Mytilus edulis: one gene and its partner. The main gene of each other region encodes a partner of the protein of the gene in region 2 in a complex. Links are inferred from orthologs where the notes say so. Each region holds a gene or a part of one and is shown on either strand. Other genes may lie near its edges. The genes, in order: methylmalonic aciduria type A protein, mitochondrial-like; methylmalonyl-CoA mutase, mitochondrial-like.

Region 1 (10,568 bases), on a different chromosome or scaffold from region 2:
TAAATATGAATGCATGCCTTGTTCAGGCCAGTAACACAACATATCTTCTGCATTAGAGAGGATTTATTTATTATCAGGTGAAAAAATAATTGTAAAATGTTTTTAACATTTAAAAAACATTAACTTGATTAAGTTTACATCATCATGTATATATGTATAAGCTAACACTTCATGTATAATTGTGTATGTAATTTTTTAAAGGAGTGTTGAAATTTGATTGCAAATAGCAGTGGCGGATCCAGGGGAGAGGGTGTTCCGGGGGCTGGAACCCCCCTTTTTTTAGGCTGATCAATGCATTTGAAAGTAAACATATAGTTGGAAACCCCCCTTTTAAAACTGTTTGGATCCGCCCCTGAATTGAAATAAAAAATAAGCAAGGAAAGAACAAATCGGCTGAGCTTTAGTTATGAGCTAGAAACTGTACATGTGCTTATACTTTGTTTTAATGTTACATTAAAGGTTAAAGAAAGTGGTGCAGGTTTTTTTAAGAATATCTGATTGTTTTATATTTAGAATAATATATATGTTATTCATCTGCATACAGTTATTTGTTTGCAGATGAGCAAATGGTTGTACTAAATCACTCTTTTCCATGAACATTTTTCCTTGCATTTGTGTTTTTATGAGATCAAATCCACTCTTCTTATTGTTGCATTATTTTACCAAAAACCTTGCTGTACGTGTATTTGACAAAACATTGTTAAAATATATTGTAATAAAACATATGTGATATTATCCTTTTCTTTAGTATGTATCTTCTCCTCTGATTTTATTTTAGGCCAGCCCCTTTAATAAAAACTCTATAGTCACTATAGACATATTGATATCCATGGCTTATGGATCTGTGGTAACACACACACACACAGTATTGTATTTTGGTACTCTGTTACTGGAAGCTAGTTCAAAGTTAAAACCAACTAATATTAAAAAATCATGTATCTAATTGATATCAATCAGTTCACATATATAACATCCAATTGAGTTTGATGGAAAAAGCGTCAATTTGGAAGACATTGTCCAATGACCCCTTACAGTGGAATGATAATGATTTTTGAAAAATAAAATCAACAATGTAAACATTAAGTCAACATGGTTGAAATGATGAAATCGTTAATGAATCTGAGAGGAGAAATATTTCCCTTGAAAGATTATTTAAAGAGAGGAACAGTAAAATGTCCAGCACATTAGAATTAGTCAGCATGACTGAAATTGTTAATTGACTCTTTATAGAAGTTATTTCACCTAAATGATTTTTTTATCCGTTTTCTCAAAACTAGAGGATTTTTACATAGGGATAGTGATCCGGTGGCGGCGGCGTTAGCTAACTTCTTAAAAGCTTTATATTTTAGAAGGTAGAAGACCTAGATGCTTCATACTTTGTACATGTATATGGATGCCTCATGTTACGAAGTTTCCGTCAGTCACATGTCCAATGTCCTTGACCTCATTTTCATGGTTCAGTGACTACTTGAAAAGAAAGTTAACATTTTTGGTAATGTTAAATTCTCACTTATTATAAGTAATAGGATAACTATATTTGATATGTGCGTACCTTGCAAGGTCCTCATGCCCATCAGACAGTTTTCACTTGACCTCGTGGAAAGAAGTTTTGGTGGTCAAGTCCATACCTCAGATACTATAAGCAATAGGTCTCCTGTATTCGGTGTATGAGGGGGGATAGGACCTTTATCGGGACTCCGGGATCAGGTGTTTTTAAGCTCGGGATTTCGGGATCAGGGAATCCTTTTTTTTGGATTTCGGGATGTCGGGATTTGCTTTACACCAATAGGTCTACTATATTTGGTGTATGGAATGATTGAAAGGTGTACATGTCTAGCTGGCAGGTGTCATCTGACCTTGACCTTATCTTCATGGTAATCAGTGGTCAAAATTAAGTTTTTGAGTTTTGGTCTTTTTTTCTAATACTAATTGCAATAGGTCAACTATATTTGGTGTATGGAAAAATGTAATGATCTATTTGTTAGTCGCACAGGTTTATTTGACCTTGACCCCATTTTCATGGTTCATTGCTCAGTGTTATTTTTTTGTGTTTTGGTCTGTTTTTCTTAAACTATAAGCAATAGGTCAACTTTATTTGTTGTACGGAAGAATTGTTAGCTGTACATGCCTGCCTTGCATGGTTCATCTGACCTTGACCTCATTTTCATGGTTCATTGGTCAATGTTTAGTTTTCTTGGTTAAGTTTATGTGACAGTTGTAATAAAGCTTTATATTTAGGACTATCAACATAAAATCAATGATTAGTAAAGAAGGCGAGACATTTCAGCCTGTGCACTCTTGTATTTCAGAAGGTAAAAGATGTGAATTGTTCAAAGTCATAGTATGAAGATAACTTAAATTACAAAGGTTCCAATTCTCGTTTGTCCATTGTCATTATCCTTATTTTCATTGTCCAGCAACTGCTTTAAAACATTTTTATTCCCCTGATGTAGCTGAGTGGGCATTAAGTTTTATCCTTGTCCATCTGTATGTCCATTCTTCCAAAAGTTGGTTTCCAATCTCTAACTTCAGGCCTGAACCAACTGTTTTAAAACTAATACACAATGAATATTACCACAAAACACAGATCAAGATGTTTGGTTTCCATTCTCTAACATAAGTTTGTCTGAATCAAATGTAACGAAACTTATTCACAATGCATTACCACATAACACAGATTAAGTTTGAATTTCGGTCGGGTCACTTTAACTGTTCTAGAGTTATGCCTCTTAGGGACGACATCAAAAGTTCAATGTAGGATAAAAAACTTAATTCACATAGTTTTTTCACTGACCCCCCCCCCCCCCCCCCCCCCCCTCTTAACTTAATTTGGGAAAAATTGATTTACCAATAGGGATATATGTAAAAATCGATTTTTGATATACAAAACTTGCAGAATTTTAACCCCCCTTCCCCCCCAAACTATTTGATTTAAGTTTTTTATCCTACATCGATCTTTTGATGTCGTCCCTTACATGTCTTTATAAATGAAAAAAAAAATTGCTGAATGTTTAGTTTCCGTTCTCTAACTTCAGTTTGCCTCAACTAAATGTTATGAAACTGATACACAAAAATTAAGCTTATTACAACAAAACATAGATTTATTTCAAATTTTGGGGGCATCACTTTAACTGTTCTAGAGTTATGCCCCATTAAAAGTGGGAAATTGCTGAATTTTTAGTTTCCGTTCTATAATTTTAGTTTGTCTCAACCAATTGTTATGAAACTGATACACAATGCTGATGACCACATATCACAGATCAAGTTCAATTTGGTAGTGTCACTTTAACAGTTCTAGAGTTATGTCCCTTTATAAGTTGGAAAGTTCAGTGCTGAATTTTAGATTCCCCTCTATAATTTTAGTTTGTTTCGACCAATTGTTATGAAGCTGATACACAATGCTGATGACCACAAAACACAGATCAAGTCACGACGAGTGTGAATTTTGGTGGGGTCACTTAAACTGTTCTAGAGTTATACCTCTATATATAACTGGAAAGGAAAAAATTCTGAAGTTTTAGTTTCTGTTCTCTAACTTAAGTTTGCCTCAACCAAATGTTATGAAACTTATGCACAATACTCATTACCACAAAACTCTGATCAAGTACGAATTTGGGTAGTGTGGCTTTTACCGTTCTTTAGTTTTTGCCCTTTTATAATTTTATATGATATGCAATCGGGGGCATCATCTATGTCCCATGGACACATTCCCAATCCCCATTTATTCTTCTGTGAAATACTCTCCAGTGGTCGATGTAAGGATTTTAAATTCGTCTTGCCTGGAAGGAAAACAACAGTTATAACAGTGAGATATAGGTATAACAATCCATTGTTGATTGTGTGGAGAATTTGTTTAAATGTTGAAATTTCAGAAGGTAGACTGAGAACTGAATGCTTCATACCTTGTGTGCAGATACCTTTATATGTTATAAAGTTTCCATTTGTCATATTTCCATTGACCTTCACCTCATTTGTTGTTAAGTGAACTAGAATCTGTTTAAAGGATTTTAAATTGACTAAATCAATGTTTTGCGACACATACATGTTACTATCTTCTTGTATTATGACTGATATATTTGTCGCTGGACATGAAGCAGATTCATCAATTACAAGTTCTTTTGCATGCCTTGTAGAATCTATTAACTGGAATTTCAAATTAACTTAAGTAATGTTTAGCCACACATACATGTTACTATCTTTTTGAATTATGACTGATATATTTGTCGCTGGACATGAAACAGCTACATCAAATATAAATTGTTCATCGATGCTTTGTAGAATTGATTCATTTATTGAGAAACACATTACAAATGTCAATTTGTACTTGATTAATACAAATATATGATTATGAAGGATAGGCAGGCTTAAAAGAAAAGTAGGAAGGGTAGAAACATTAGAGGTAGAGCCTGCGTTTAAAAGGTCTTTGTGTCCATCACAACTTGTGTATGGTTACCTTTTATTTTTAACTTTATATGAAGTTAAACTTATTTAAGGTAAAGTAAGTTTGTTGTATACCTTTAGGTCGACACCTTTATGTATAGAATTTGTTTCCTTAATACGAAAGGGTGTGGTTTATGTCCAAGGATTGTGAAATTTCTCAGAGGCTGTATCGTGCAGTCGTTATTTTGATACATCATTTGGTAGCTAAGTAGACATGTCGTTGGGAAGCACAACTGTGCTACACTGACTGTGTCTGTAAGGTTTTTATGCGGTGCAAAAATGTTTTTAAAAAAATATCAATACAGCTACGTCTCTGCTAAACTGAAGTTTCTAGGCTTCAGCTCTGGGGTTCCCAGTGAAGACATTTTTTTAAACACAAATTTAAGATTTACAGTTACTAAATTAAAAAAACAGGTCGTTTTTGAAATAAATTACATCATTTCTTCTTTTTCTATTTTAAAAGTCCTTTGAACTTCTCTTCTGAATTTTCTCACTATATTTTACATGAAATAACACCTTAACTGCATGTTCAAAAATATAAAGTGTGTAAAAACAGAATGTGGGGTAAACGTCAATGAGACAGCTACATTAGTCCTAGCGACAACAATAACCAAACGACATGTGCACGCTGAACGGAGAAAAGGGGATGGGAGTTTCCCTCAATGGGACAGCATTCCAATGACTACAGATATATATGAATGACATATTCACTTTGCTGATGCTACCATTTTTGTGGTCTTTTTTTCTACTGATAAAAACTGTCCGCAATGAAAAAGGTAAACAATAATCTGTTTAAAGGATTTTAAATGACTACGAAATAAAAGAAGACTCAGAAGAAAGGTGGGAAAGGTAAAGCATTAGAGGCGGGCCAAAGGGTCTTTGATTGGGTCAATCACAGCATATGTGTGGTGGCCTTACATTTTTAACTTTATATTACTAGTAAGTTAAACTTATTGAAGGTAATGCAAGTTCGTTGTTCGTTGTTCAAATTTACAGTTACTGAATAAAACAAAAGTTGAAATCTGTAGAAAATTTCATTTACTAGTTACATATATCAATTTATATTTATGTTTATGATATGTTTAGGCAACTTTGTTTATATCATGTTATGTGACCGTCGGTTGTTTTCTGGGTCATCTTGATAGTTAATACCCACGTAACGAAACTACATATAATCGAGCCCGGGCCATACCTGTTCATTTTTTTTATTCTACCCTTTTTATAATTTGGATAAACGTTTTACAATTGTTATAAATCTAATATGAGAATTTGAGTAAAATCGGTGAACATGAACCTTTAACCTTTTCTTGCACCTCAGCATATTAGTTTAAACAGCATATTGTAATTAACTCAGTAATTTTATGGTTTAAACTGAGCTGTAATGATTATCCTATAATTTGATAATGATATTGCCTTTACTCATTTATCTTTACATAAGTTTTAATGCTCCTTAAGTATTAAAACTGAGACTTCTATAACTATATGTGATATAGTAATCCCAGATTAAAATGTCTATAATATGATTGCTGCAATTATACCTCATGGGTAGTGCTCCACAAATAATGGAGGAACATACATACAAACAACTGAATTGAACTAAATGTTACAATATTTCTGTAAGGATTGTATATACACAAATTTATTCCGTTCCTTGTTTTTAAACAATATTAAATAAAAATTAGGGCCTTTTTTTTAACCGTGTGACACGGGTGCTCCGCTGCGGAGGAATTTACTTAGAGAAGAAGTTAAAACAGTCAGATTGTCGTTTCTCTCCCCACCAGCTTTTTGGCCGTTCTTTTTTTTTTTAGAATTCTGACAGCTATCATCATTGTTGTTTTTACATTGTAGGTACAATTACTCCTTTAAAAATCTTAGCCATTTAATAGGAAAATATGAAAATGGTGTGTTTTTATTCATATCACCTGATCATCAGAGACATATATATTTATATGTCTCTGATATCACATAGCAGTTTTCTTCTGCGTTTCCTACTATAGATCAGTTCTGAGCTTGTCTCAGGGAAGGTCGACTATATAAAGAACATCCGTTGTTCGACCTGTTAGTAAAATGCGTTTTGTTTTAATATACTACATGTACTTCACTTTTTTGGTCTTTTGGAAAATGTTGTTTGTACTGCTGTATTTAGACCCTTCTACAAATTTGTTTTACATGCACATGTATAAACATGGCGGTTTTTATCGAACGCAATCATAGGTTTGAACGTAGTTTTCAATTTAGACTCGCATATATCACTATAATGTATATATACATATTCTATATATGGATAGTCGACCTTCCCATGGATAGAAACAAGTACCTGTGGCTTCTGTCAAGCATTTATCTCTCAGAAACAAATTACTGAGGGTACTCAGTGGCGGATCCAGAAAAAAATTTGGAGGTGGTCCCAAACGAATATTGAATGGTATGAAAAAGGTTAAAAAATACCTTCGACATTATGGAAGATCATGAATTTGGACAACACCATGCAAAATGCACATATTCCTAGGTAAAGGAATTTAAAGACATGTAAAAATGATTTTTTATTTAAGACTCTATCCAATATCTTGCAATCTAAAATAGCACAACATACAACTGTCATCTGAATTAGGCAAGCTGTAAAAAAAGTTTAGCTAAAATGTTCTGAATCGGTAAAAATAGTTCTACGTAAAATTGTTCAAAATTTACTAATTTAACAAAGAGTCGTTTATCAGGTCATTCAACATCATGCGTTGCGGGTCTTTCCTTGCAAAGTTATCTATAATTTGTTTTATGTTTATATGATAATAAATATTCTAATATGACATATATATATGCATCTTTTGCTTTGTAAACAACACCGTGATAAATACTGGATACATGTATATCTATACTTAGCACATACTCAGAAATATACATACATTTGTGAAAATGGATGTTACAAAATACCTTCTTCATAAAAGTCGTTAATACACATGTATCTGATAGAAACCGTTTGCAATTGCTACATGTATGCCAATTTTATTGTTTTAAAATTTGCAATTGAAAAAGACTACAGAACTTCTATTCGTATTCTGATGCATAACAAACACAATTAATGCACTAGAGCCCAGAGAAATAACAAAATCAAAATAAAATAAAATTCTGTGAAAGTCCATAAATGCTTTTGGCACTTTTAATTCATTTCAAAACATGACATCATACAAATGAAAACGCTAAAGCTAAAGGTTTTTCCATTATGTCATTGTATGTGAACCATAGTTCGTATAATATTTCATTAAAATGGATTTTTTGAGGTAGGGTTAGCTTTATTTTCTGTTCTGTTGCATTATTCGCATATTTACTGATTTCAGAAAGTCAACATGGCGGCTCCTTAGTAATGAAATGTCACCTTTGGATTTGATGATATCTTAAGAAAAGAACATGTAAATTAAAAATGGCAAATGTTGAATTTGAGATTTAAAAGAATTAAACATATTTTTCCAGCGGTTATTTATGAAATAAGTCATGCAAACTACATATTTATCAGAATGTTTTAGCTTTATCTAACAAGGAGTAAAAAAGAACAGCTCCACACCCGGCATACCCTACCACGCTTCAGTTTTTTAATTACCTTATTTGTCCTATTAGAATTGAAATAATTCAACCTATTATACCATGTATACATGTGTACAATTTGGAGTTTATTATGGCGTTTATTATCACTGAACTAGTATATATATTTGATTAGGGGCCAGCTGAAGGACGCCTCCAGGTGCGGAGTTTCTCACTGCATTGAAGACCTGTTGGTGACCTTCTGCTATTGATCGCTATTGTCTGTTCCATGCATGGTCGGGTTGTTGTCTCTTTGACACATTCCCCATTTCCATTCTCAATTTTATGTTTACTGACAGAAACTTCCTTAAAATTATCTTTGCACCAAACTGAAGTAAGCATCTAACGCAAATGGAATTAATGGATGCATACAATGTATATTTCAAGTATATGTGGCTGACTTTAATAACTGTAATCTGTAATCTGTAATATATATTCTACCAATGTAGGCACACCTCTTCGGAGTATTGGAGTTCACAACATGAATAAAAATATCTTCCACCAATATCACTATACACTATTTACATTGTACATCATATTCTTGACGATAAAATTGGGCTTAATGTCAATATAGGCAGCATCAACTCATTAAATACTTTAAAATCTAAAATATTTATCTAAAAATACATGTATCACTGTTTAAGAGTAGACAACCAATCGTCACTTAGGATTCATATGATATAATGTTATTATCTAATTTCTCTTCTTTTTCTTTATATCATCTAATTGCAACAGTCTATACCTTTCACAATGGAGATTGTAACATAATTGTCCACATTTTGGATCTATAATGTTCTGTATCACTTTAAAAGCTTTTACATTTCTTAACATTGCCATGTAATTAAAGAGATCTATAATCAGTTGTTAAATGTCAAAATGTTCATCTTTAATATTAAAAACAGCTAACTCTTCACTACAGGAATTAATTAAATCTTCCAAAATTGGTTTTCTGATATCTTCTAGACTTTTACACGTTAATTAAAAATGTGGGAAAGTTTCTTCTGTTTCATTACACAGTTTGCATATGGACAGTTCTGTATTATTTGTAAACTTAGCTCTAACTGTTTGCAGAATGTAACTCCCAGTAGCTTTTTATACGACCGCAAAATTTGAAAATTTTTTCGTCGTATATTGCTATCACGTTGGCGTCGTCGTCGTCATCGTCCGAATACTTTTAGTTTTCGCACTCTAACTTTAGTAAAAGTGAATGGAAATCTATGAAATTTTAACACAAGGTTTATGACCACAAAAGGAAGGTTGGTATTGATTTTGGGAGTTTTGGTCCCAACATTTTAGGAATTAGGGGCCAAAAAGGGCCCAAATAAGCATTTTCTTGGTTTTCGCTCTATAACTTTAGTTTAAGTTAATAGAAATCTATGAAATTTTGACACAAGGTTTATGACCACAAAAGAACGGTTGGGATTGATTTTGGGAGTTTTGGTTTCAACAGTTTAGGAATCAGGGGCCAAAAAAGGGCCCAAATAAGCATTATTCTTGGTTTTCGCACAATAACTTTAGTTTAAGTAAATAGAAATCAATGAAATTTAAACACAATGTTAATGACTACAAAAGGAAGGTTGGTATTGATTTTGGGAGTTAATTAGGTCCCAACAGTTTAGGAATTAGGGGCCAAAAAGGGACCCAAATAAGCATTTTTCTTGGTTTTCGCACCATAACGTTAGTATAAGTAAATAGAAATCTATGAAATTTAAACACAAGGTTTATGACCATAAAAGGAAGGTTGGTATTGATTTTGGGAGTTTAGGTCCCAACAGAATAAGGGGCCCAAAGGGTCCAAAATTAAGCTTTGTTTGATTTCATCAAAATTGAATAATTGGGGTTCTTTGATATGCCGAATCTAATTGTCATGACTGTGTATGTAGATTCTTAACTTTTGGTCCCGTTTTCAAATATTGGTCTACATTAAGGTCCAAAGGGTCCAAAATTAAACTTAGTTTGATTTTGACAAAAAATGAATCAGTCAGGTTCTTTGATATGCTGAATCTAAAAATGTACTTAGATTCTTGATTATTGGCCCAGTTTTCAAGTTGGTCCAAATCGGGGTCCAAAATTAAACTTTGTTGATTTCATCAAAAATTGAATAAATGGGGTTCTTTGATATACCAAATCTAACTGTGTATGCAGATTCTTCATTTTTGGTCCTGTTTTCAAATTGGTCTACACTAAAGTCCAAAGGGTCCAAAATTAAACTTAGTCTGATTTTAACAAAAATTGAAATCTTGGGGTTCTTTGATATGCTGAATCCAAAAATGTACTTAGATTTTTTATTATGGGCCCAGTTTTCAAGTTGGTCCAAATCAGGATCTAAAATTATTATATTAAGTATTGTGCAATAGCAAGTCTTTTCAATTGCACAGTATTGCGCAATGGCAAGAAATATCTAATTGCACAATATTGTGAAATAGCAATTTTTTTTTTAATTAGAGTTATCTTTCTTTGTCCAGAATAGTAAGCAAGAAATATCTAATTGCAAAATATTGTGCAATAGCAAGATTTTTTTTTAATTGGAGTTATCTTTCTTTGTCCAGAATCAACTT
Region 2 (10,299 bases):
AATGTAATCTTTCTAATTAATCAATCAATATTTAAATGAAAGTTTCCCTTTGTATTCTCACATTTTGACTCATTGACAACTACCATACATCCTTTCTTTTTCAAGTTATTATCTATGGATCTTGGTCTCATAGTTGAAGGATTAATGTTGAAAAAGACAGTTTATCTGTTGCAACTATTTCTGTAAGGATATTACTCAATGTGTTCTCTCCTGTATTTGACAGAGAACTAGTGTCTGTATGTACAATGTTTTCATTTAACTTTTCAACCTTTTCAATTCACTTTTATATTTTGATAACATGCATTATATCTTTGCTTCATTTCTTAAATCACAATTGATGTAATATGTTTGTCCATTCTTTGTTGAACATGGCAACAGTTAACACAAACATTTCTGAATTAACGGTATTCTAGTTAAGAGGTCTACTAGAATGTCTGATATATAAAGTCAGAATGTATACACTGTGATATAGGGACAGCATACGTATGAAAATCTTGTTTGAAAGTCTCTGTTTTAACACTCTACACTATATAGACCTTGTGTATCCACTAACCTGTCTGATGGTCCAAGGTCTGTATGTGTACATTGTACTATAAGGTCCCCTTGTGTAGGGATATAGGCCTGGAAGTTCTTTCTCCACATGTTCTGTATCTTTCTTTGTATAAACTGGCTTAACATTGATGCCCTGAAATTAAATATATATCTTCAACTTAACTTATTGTTACCTGATACATTACTATGACCTGATTTCTTTAACAATAGAAAATTAAACTTCATGGAGGTGTAAGTAAGTATGGACCAAATTATAATAAATTGTACCCTTCATCAAGAAAAATGACTAAATTTCACAATCTGAAAAGTCGGCAAGGATCATCTTAATAAGTACACTAAGTAAGGTGAAAAATATATTAAAAAAAGTTTGTCTATGTGTTTAAAACTGTAGGAGCAGTTTTTTCTTTTTACACAAAATGGATACCTCCTAGGTAAACATGAAGAATGCTACTGAACAGTTTTATCATCTACAAATAGTATTCAAATGTGTTCAAAATATGAGGAGCAACGTAATGCCTCTTCTGCTACGATGGGGGCATAAAAATTACACACAAAAACAAAATATAAGGTTCATCATAACCTTTTTGTAAATACATGAAATGTGGCGGTATTTACACCTCAAATTTCACTATGAGTACAGAGAAACTTGTACACCTGGAAAAATTTATCCAATGATCATGATGATGACAATTTACCTCAGGAGTCTGCCACATCAGGACATCATCTGGATCTTTTCCTTTGATTTCTTTCTTTGCTTTCTCTTTCCATGATTGATCTATTGGTTCTCTGTGTAAACATCTGCAGCATACTGGTGCAGTTCTCTGTAAAAGTAGAGTATATGTGTAAACATCTGCAGCATACTGGTGCAGTTCTCTGTAGAAGTAGAGTATAAACTCATTTATTTAAAGAACTATTGTGAAACTATCAAACAGACCATAAAACAAAACATAATAGTCCACAAAAAGAACAGCCAAGTGTCGCTAAATGATTGCTTGGGAGCACAGTTTGTTATATAAACCACTTGAAACTAGTACTGGTGATCATAGGTCCATGATATGGGGTCAAAGTCAAGTGAATCCAGTGTGATAGAAACCAACTCTTCTTCTTCTTCTTTCAGAAAAGGGACTGGATTTCAATATTTGAATTACATGGATCTGCACGAAAACTTTGCACAGTGACTGGCATTAACACAGAAAGTTCTCTCTTGGCTATTTACATTTTAAATGAAAGATTTACGGAAAGATTACCTGTTGGCATCTGCACTGGTTCTTTCTTAGTAGACTCTGTTTTTACCTCTGGTTCGGTTATTGTTTAAAGTCAAATAATGTTGAAAATCTATGTTTAATATGTCATGCTGGATCTTGAATAGCACACATAATCTAATTAGTTTTCATTCATTCTTTGAGGCTTTTCCATTTTAAATTTTTACCATAATTTTGACACAGCTAGGATAGAAAAAATATGTGCAATTTAGGGACATTGGAACTGGGTTCTTTTATTTTACATTAAAAAAGATTTTGATATACATTCTTCATTTTCTATACCTTGTTTAACCTCAAGGAATAACTTCATTACACTTAAGTAATGATGTTTTATCAAAAACTTTATAAAAAAAAAAAAAATTAATTGGCATTTATTTTCATACTCATCCAAGACATTGCTGATATAAAACCTATAATATAAGTTTCATAAAAATCTGACAAGAATTGAAGATTGGACAAAAGGACAATTTTCAATATTATTAATTTCCAAGGGACATGACTCTTTTAAAAATTATTGATCTGCAGTAATTTTCAAAATCTTGCAAGAGATATTATAAACCTATGATATAATGTTTATAAAATTCTGGTAAAAATTTTACACTTGAAGCGTCAACAAGATGGGACGGATGGAAGGATGCATAGATGGATCCTCTATAGCAATTTCCCACATATTTAATAAACTCTTCTAAAAATGATTGATCAGCACTGATTTTTGAACTTGCCAGAGACATTGCTGATATATATAAACCTGTGATTTAATTCAAAAATTGAAGATATGAGTCTCAGTGCTTCATGTAACAATGCAATTTTCCATAGATATTTAATGTTTTCAAGGGGCATAACTCTTTGCTAACTCCTCACTGACTAACTAGTCAAAGACATTGTTCACATTAAATATAATCAACTATGATATTTGTTGTATAAAAAATCTGGCAAGAATTGAACACATGACAGCATTCACAATGCAATTTTGAGAATTTGCACAAAAATTAATGTTTCTTAGCTATATACATGTAGGGTCAAAACTATTTTAATAAACAGCTGCGCCAGGAGTGCATGATACACCCCTTATGTTTTCTAAGAATAAAGTGCAATAACTTCTCAATGTCATATATCAGAAATTTATGAAAAACTAAAGGGAAGTTATCTTAATAGACAGGCAAAAATGTTTATTGAAAACTGCTCAAAGCGCTATAAAAGTAATGTACGTCTGAAAACTAGAAAATCCTCCTTTTTTTAATGAATAAAACCCCATAACCTGGGAACAGTATGTTCCTGCCATAACTAAACTTGGAAATGCACAATCAAAATTTGAAAGGGAGCTTGTGTCAATAGATAAAAAAAACCCACACACTCTATTAATGAATTAAACCCCTCTCTGAAACCTAAAATATAAAATTTATGAAATAACAAAAGGGAGCCAACATCAATAGAAAAATGCAATTCACTAAGTTTTATGCAAATTGGGTAAAGCGTTTTGGAGTTACATGAAATGTCCGACATGTTGACGATGGACAGACAGACATACGGACAACGCCAAGGGTCATGACGGTATACCATAATACACTAAACGGGCGTATAAAAAAGTAATTGATTGGCACTGATTTTTCTACTCATCCATGACATTGCTGATATAAACCTAGATGATATACTGTTAATAAAAATCTTGCAAGAATTGCACACATGAAAGCGCTAACCAGACAGGACAGAGAGACGCAGTGACAGACACCATGTAGAGGGAAGCCTGGTTTTTTTTAGTACAATGAAAGTAAGTATGAAATGACAGGGCTGCAGACGTTAATGTCCGAAACAAAATATGCCAGGGCCGAAATGTCTTTACAGCTCAAGTTTCTCTAAGCTATAAACCTCTTCACTCTTCACTTGTGAAGTTGTGTGAGTCTTTTCGAGTTTAAACTGTTTTCATGGAAGTGGCATTCTCTTGATTTCTTTTTTCAAGGTTCAAATATACCTGTAATGTTTGTCTGCATAGAAACCGGCCAGTGACATTTCGTATTTTATACATTATTTGTTTTTACGAGGTTTCTCTGTGGGCTTAGCACTAGACAAGGAAAAAACCGGGGGCATACGAATGTTTTCTCAAGGTCAGGTTTTATTACGTAAAAACTTGTGTATTCCGAATGGAATAGACGTTTTTCTGCAAATAGTATACTTTCTCTCTTTTTCATAAGGTCGTTAATGATAATTTTACTTAATATTTTAAAGATGCTTAGAAATTTGCAATAAAAGAGTAATGATAAGAATGATAAAGCATAAAAAGACCTTGAAATCATTGAAAAATCGTTGTGCATGGGCGCAGACATTTTTGTTGTCAGATGAAAGGCTGGTTTTGATTGGTTGAAAGAAACTTTTAACCAATGAAATTGTACGTTATTTCAACATTAACCTTAAAAGTAAAGCTATGGCAGACATGAGTCCAGAAGCTAAAAAGAGACTTTCCTCTGTTCTTAAACTTGTTAGAGTAACATTTCAATATGGATTCATTCCAACAGTTTTATATATGGGTAATTTAGGTTTTAGAAATAAAAAAAAACAAAATCGTCAATAGGTCAGTTAGATTTATAGTGCTGATTTTAACTATAGCACTCCTCTCAGAACTTGTAAGTAAGTAAGTAAGTACATGTAAGTAATGGCTTTATTTAAAGAGGGTGACTCAATTAGCTTTCACTAATCTACCTTGAGGCCCTCACAATATTACAAAGCTTACAGTTTCTAACATATTATGTAAATGCACTATTCATTCTTACTATAAACTGTCTAGAACAAGAGAAAAATAAATTCATATATATACAACTCGTCTAAACATCAACCCAACAATGTTAGATCTGTAAATTTGATTTCGCAAATTTTTGGTTCTTCCCTCGCCGGGATTCGAACCCATGCCACTGTGATATCGTGACACCAAATCGCCTGCACTGCAGCCGTCCCGCTAGACCACACGACCACCTGGGCTCTCAAAAAAGAGCTTTCGCTGGCCGTGTGTTACCTTTCCTCGTCAGTTTTAATCTAGCGGCGTACTACAGTACATGATATATGAGGCATGAAGATGTTATTGTTACAGATCAGCTAAATTATCTATAGTAAAGGATCCTACAAATTAATGTAATATACAGTCACAGAAAATAATTATATTTATAAGTACGTCTGAGTCAGTGACAACTCTACAAATATATATACATAACATACAAATCATTAGAATATTTGAGTAAGTTGTTATAAATCATTTATAGTCAAGAAATCAACACATTTTTGTTTAAAAGTGTCCAGGTTTTCACAACATTTTATTTCATTTGGTAGTTTATTACTAACTAGGGCACTTTTTATGCAGTTAAGCTGCATTATGCGAGCACCCTAGATTTTTGTTCTACCCAATAAATCCTGAAATACTTGCCATTGTTATTATCTAGCTTGTTACTATGTTATATATAACTAATTGAACACTTTTTTAATACTTTTTATTCTGGATTACAAAAAAAATGACCAGAAAAACCGTAAATGATCGTCGATTTATCCAAAAGTTTTAAAGTTACACATAGGAAGTAGTGCTTATTAAAAATCCTTGTGTAGTTCATTATGACTTGTGCTTTTAGCTAAGATGTCAAAGAACAATTGTATGAAATATTTAATCGCCGAAAATCTCTTAAGACAAGCAGTTTAGATTTCCCAAATGACAAAAGTCGTAGGAATATTATTTGTCATCAATACGTAGTACAACTACATCAGTAGTCTATTATATAATTCAACTGTTCATGCTGTTGGCGGCAATTTCAAATTAGAAAAAGAAATTTTCGTAGCTTTTCAATTTGGAGGCAGGTGTGCAAATTAGCGGTGGTCCGAGACCTTCCACTTTTGCAAGCGGAACTTCGACTAGGATAGTTGGTTTCTAGCTACGCCCGACGTAGTCGCCTTACATTTGAAAGAAAATAAGAATTTACTTTGCAAACCTTTTCACCATGTTCACCAAAGTCTCCAATTAAACGAGCTAAAAACTTATTTTTATCATTATTATTCATGACGGCGATGTTCATTTTGTTCAACCGCTAGCTTTATACAGAAAATCGCCGACAAATATTGTATAAATTCGAGTAAAATCGTATCTGATTGACAAAAACAACATTGTAAACACATAACAATGGCGGCCGTGAAGACAAAATTTTACAAAATCGGATCCGATTCCGGGAGCGGATAAGGGTAATTCCGGGTTTGACGATCATTTACAAAATAAATCTAAGCAGTTGAAAAATACATCTATGCATGGTAAATGAAAATAAACACTAGTATTGTAAACCAAAAGATATATGTAAAAGAAAGAAAAAGCAGAAAAATATTTTATTCAGAAACTAAAAATTACTTTTTGATAAATTTTAATTTAAAAATCCAATACAACGTGCCAGCTGGGAACAGTATATCTAACAATATACATGTTCATGGTCACAGTCTAAATTTTCTTTATAAATGATAAATGATGATAATGCATGTGAGATGCTTTTAAAGTGTAAACATATTACTGCGATTTCGAGGGGTTATTTGTTTTTTTCTCAATTTTGAAGGGTCAATTAAAGTAGCTGAAAGTTTCATTCTTTATTTTCACAAATAATGCAACTATATTACATATACCTTAATGTAAGTAAATCATATGATATATAGGTGGCATTCTTTGGGCCACTCTACCCCTCCTGTTTGATAACTTGGAAACGGTCGAGCTCCCCACCTCTAAACCATATGAGGGGCAGATCCAGGATTTTAGGTTAAAATTATCGGAATTTTCTTTATTAAGCTGAGAACAACCCATGCTTTGCAAATTTAAGGGGGGGTGCAAGCCCGCAACCCTCCCCCGTCTGAATCCTCCCCTGCATATATTCAAGTATAGGACAATATAATAAATAAAAAATGAAATATAGGGGGAGTCCCTGGAGTTACCCCACCCCCTCCTGTTTGAGATCTTGGAAACGGTCAGGATCCACACCTCTTAACCATATATATTCATGTTTGTGACGATATGAAAAATCAAATGAAATATAGGAAGAGTCGCTAGGGGTCACCCCACCCCTCCTGTTTTAGAATTTAAAAATGGATCGAGATCCCCATCCCTAAACCATATATATTCATGTATGGGACAATATAACAAATCAGATGAAAGATAGGGGGAGTCCCTGAGGTCACTGTTCACCCTCCTGTTTGAGAACTTGGAAATGGTCAAGATCCTTACCCCTAAACCATATATACTCATGTATGGGACAATATAACAAATCAAATGAAATATAAGGGAAGTCCCTGTGGTCATCCCAACCCTCCTGTTTGAGAACTTGGAAACGGTCGAGATCCCCCACACCAAAACAATATATATTCATGTATGGATCAATATAACTAATTAAATGAAATATAGGGGGAGTCCCTTGGGTCACCCTACCCTTCCTGTTTGAGAACTTGGAAACCAATGAGATCCCCACCCCTAAACCATATATATTCATGTATGGGACAATATAACAAATAAAATGAAATGTAGGGGAAGTCCCTAGGGTCACCCTACCCCCAGTGGCAGATCCAGAAATTTTCATAAGTGGGGCCCACTGACTGACCTAAGAGGGGCCCGCTTCAGTCACGCTTCAGTGATTCCCTATATAAGCAACCAAATTTTTTCCCAAAAAGGGGGGCCTGGCCCCCTGCCCCCTAAATCCTCTGCCTACCCCTACCTGTTTGAGAACTTGAAAACCGTTGAGATCCCCACCCCTAAATTATATATATTCATATGTATGGGACAAAATAACAAATCATTTACATTTACTATATATGGGCAAGTCAGTCAGACCTCATCTTTGATCCCTGTTGTAGTGAACATTTGTCTGATTCGTGTCTCATAACTTTTGTACTACAGAACACAAACTCAGTTTTCTTTCCAGGGAAACCAGTCCATTCATACTATTACATGTTCATACTATGTCAAATTGAACTTCTAGCAGTCAAATAAAACCAAGGTTAACTACCAAGTAGAACAACTGCAATCATTGGGAACTTGTACCACTGCAGACTCACCATAAAAAAATATACATTGATATATGCTTTGCTTTTGAAACCTTGATAACATATAAATTATTTGCCTTAATAAATAAATCATTAGATAAACATGAATGTACTATATATGAATGTTTAATGTTGAGGCAACATTGCCACAGTTTTCATAATTACGGTTGCCTTGGTTTTTGGTTAACTGCCTTCAGCGCTTACAGCGCTTTGATTTCTGTCTATCATACCCTAGACAGTCTATGGCAAGATCTTTTATCGATATGTATGAGGGTAGTAATGCCCTTAACTGTCGGGCGTCAAATAGTAATTTACTGCTTCCGTTTGCTTCAAATTGGTTAAATTTTACTGCGATTCGTCAAAATATTCTTTTCGTGATTTTTAGAAGTTTCAAATAATTATTGCTAGCATCAATTTCTGGTTAACAAAGTTAGATTTCTGTTTGTTTTCAGGACCAATAATAACACATTTTGGTTTTTGTTGTTTCTCTTTTACTGTCCCTGAGTCGATATTTAATGGGATTTAGAGAAACAAAAACAATAGAGATTCATAATATAATGGTCTAGAAATATAAATAAAAGTCTGAATAGAGAAAAATGACTTACAATTATAGACCCCCAATCAAGACCCTCATGTAATGCATGACTTATTATGTGCATTGGTTAGAAAATGCCTTTGCTTTTTTTGGTATGTAAGTAGTGATATTTTTTGACAGGGATGGAAACCCAAAATCTTTTGTTTTTCTATTATTTCAGACATATCCCATGTTAATATACATATAAAAAATATATCAAAGGAAAGTTAGGGAACAGATAATCTCTGACTTGTTTCAGTTTTTTTTATATCCATGATCATATCTGTATAAAAAAGTTTTAACATTTCTTTTTCTCAAGTTAGTTTAAAATTAACATGGCCATGACATGTATGCATTAATCATTGTTCACCTATAGTTAAGTAACCATAGTTAGTAACTTACTGTATTAATGCAACTTGTTTTATTATTCTTTTTCTTAGGATTCAAGAGAGGTGCTGATGAAGGAATGCCTCCATTAGAATTAGCAAGGTTAGTTGTTATAAACTATGGGATGATCAAATAGATTTGAATGATCATTTTTTTAAATATATACATTCAAAACAAGCAATTTATATAAATTTTTAGTATGATGGATGTGGTGGTAAGACTTGTTATATATCATATATTGTACATCTAAAGTATAAACTAATAAATAATGTACATCAGCTGTATGCAGTTCAAAGATTGTACCCAGAATCCATTATATAACTAATCCTTCATAAAAACTAAGAAATTTGATGGAAAAAAATACCCTGCTAATTACATATTTCTGACATGTTAACACTATGACACAATTGATTAAACTGAAATTGATTTTGTAGAGCGTGTACATGATGTAAGGGGTCCATTTTAATCTACTGGTAGAATTCCAATTCTTATTAGACTTAATCTTCCACTATCTAAAACTAATTTGTGACAGCTCTATATCTGTTACATGTACATGAAATAAGAATTATAGAATTAAGTTTGTTAAATGTTATAGTGACCTGAGTTACTTTCTCGTATCTGCATGTCGGGTAATTCAACAAATATTTAGATATATATTGGTTAGAATGATAGCAAATTACAGGTTATCTCCCCTTAATTGTTATTTTCTAGTGTTTTTAAACCAAATGATATCTTAAATTACCAGAACAGGGAAAGGAAACAAACAGTATACCAATTAACATTCTGAACTTCAATTTATGTAAAGCTGAGCAAGTTTTTGTTTGTCACAATTTCACCAAGTGCCTTATTCTCAGGCAGATTGTTATAAAACACCTTTACCTGTTAATCAGACTTTTACAATGTGGATTAATTTGATAGAAATGTGTTCTGAAATCAAAGATAACAATGTTAAATTTAGTATATATTCACATGGTACTAAATGAAAAGGACCAGTATATTATTTTGTTGATAAACAATGAAAACATTCCACTTGTACATAATTAATAACCTCACTGATACAATTAGAATGACAGATAAACTTAAGTCAACATGATTTACAAGGTGTTTAAAATATGAACTCCTTGAACAGTGGTATATGACGTTAGCTGATCTATGTTGCTGATTTAGTTTTTCAGCTTTACTTAACTTAACCATGTAAATATTGTGTGGACAATGGTGGCTGTAAGCATAAGACTTGGTAGTACATTTGTATTTTAAAACAAAATGCTGATTCAATGACTTTGAAATTCTGTTCTGTTCCAAACTGGTTGTACCAGCAACATGCAAACATGAAGTTTACATATTGATTTAGGAAAGGATGCCATACTAAATATTATTCAAAAAATCCAATACATCATATTATACAACCATGCATTTTTAAAGCACTGCAGACATTGTCTTTGACCATCAACTTTATACCTGTAAACCTGTTAATCTGTTGAAAGA

Evidence for each region.
Region 1: the proteins of methylmalonyl-CoA mutase, mitochondrial-like (region 2) and methylmalonic aciduria type A protein, mitochondrial-like are in contact, whole or in part, in a crystal structure (PDB 8GJU), measured with the Homo sapiens proteins. The link is inferred for Mytilus edulis from reciprocal best matches to the Homo sapiens genes MMUT and MMAA. Residues at the interface, in NP_000246.2 of Homo sapiens: Lys496, Glu609, Arg610, Glu611, Gly612, Arg613, Arg614, Arg616, Ala635, Thr636, Ala639, Asp640, Gly642, Phe643, Asp644, Val645, Asp646, Ile647, Gly648, Pro649, Leu650, Phe651, Gln652, Glu656, Gln659, Gln660, Val662, Asp663, Ala664, Asp665; in NP_001362573.1 of Homo sapiens: Arg98, Ala99, Ala102, Glu103, Thr106, Glu109, Ser110, Thr111, His112, Ser182, Ser186, Gly187, Gly188, Ser189, Leu190, Leu191, Lys194, Thr195, Met197, Thr198, Ser201, Arg202, Met204, Tyr207, Ile208, Arg209, Pro210, Ser211, Pro212, Arg214.

The regions. Positions count from the first base shown.
Region 1 is NC_092351.1:36,712,665-36,723,232, forward strand, and holds the start of methylmalonic aciduria type A protein, mitochondrial-like, read left to right. Parts: upstream 1-6,171; 5' UTR 6,172-6,284; intron 6,285-9,098; exon of another isoform or gene 9,099-10,439; intron 10,440-10,568. UniProt on the Homo sapiens protein: GTPase, binds and hydrolyzes GTP. Involved in intracellular vitamin B12 metabolism, mediates the transport of cobalamin (Cbl) into mitochondria for the final steps of adenosylcobalamin (AdoCbl) synthesis.
Region 2 is NC_092345.1:96,462,149-96,472,447, forward strand, and holds the start of methylmalonyl-CoA mutase, mitochondrial-like, read right to left. Parts: upstream 4,153-10,299; 5' UTR 3,838-4,152; coding exon 3,784-3,837; intron 1,374-3,783; coding exon 1,248-1,373; intron 686-1,247; coding exon 554-685; intron 1-553. UniProt on the Homo sapiens protein: Catalyzes the reversible isomerization of methylmalonyl-CoA (MMCoA) (generated from branched-chain amino acid metabolism and degradation of dietary odd chain fatty acids and cholesterol) to succinyl-CoA (3-carboxypropionyl-CoA), a key intermediate of the tricarboxylic acid cycle.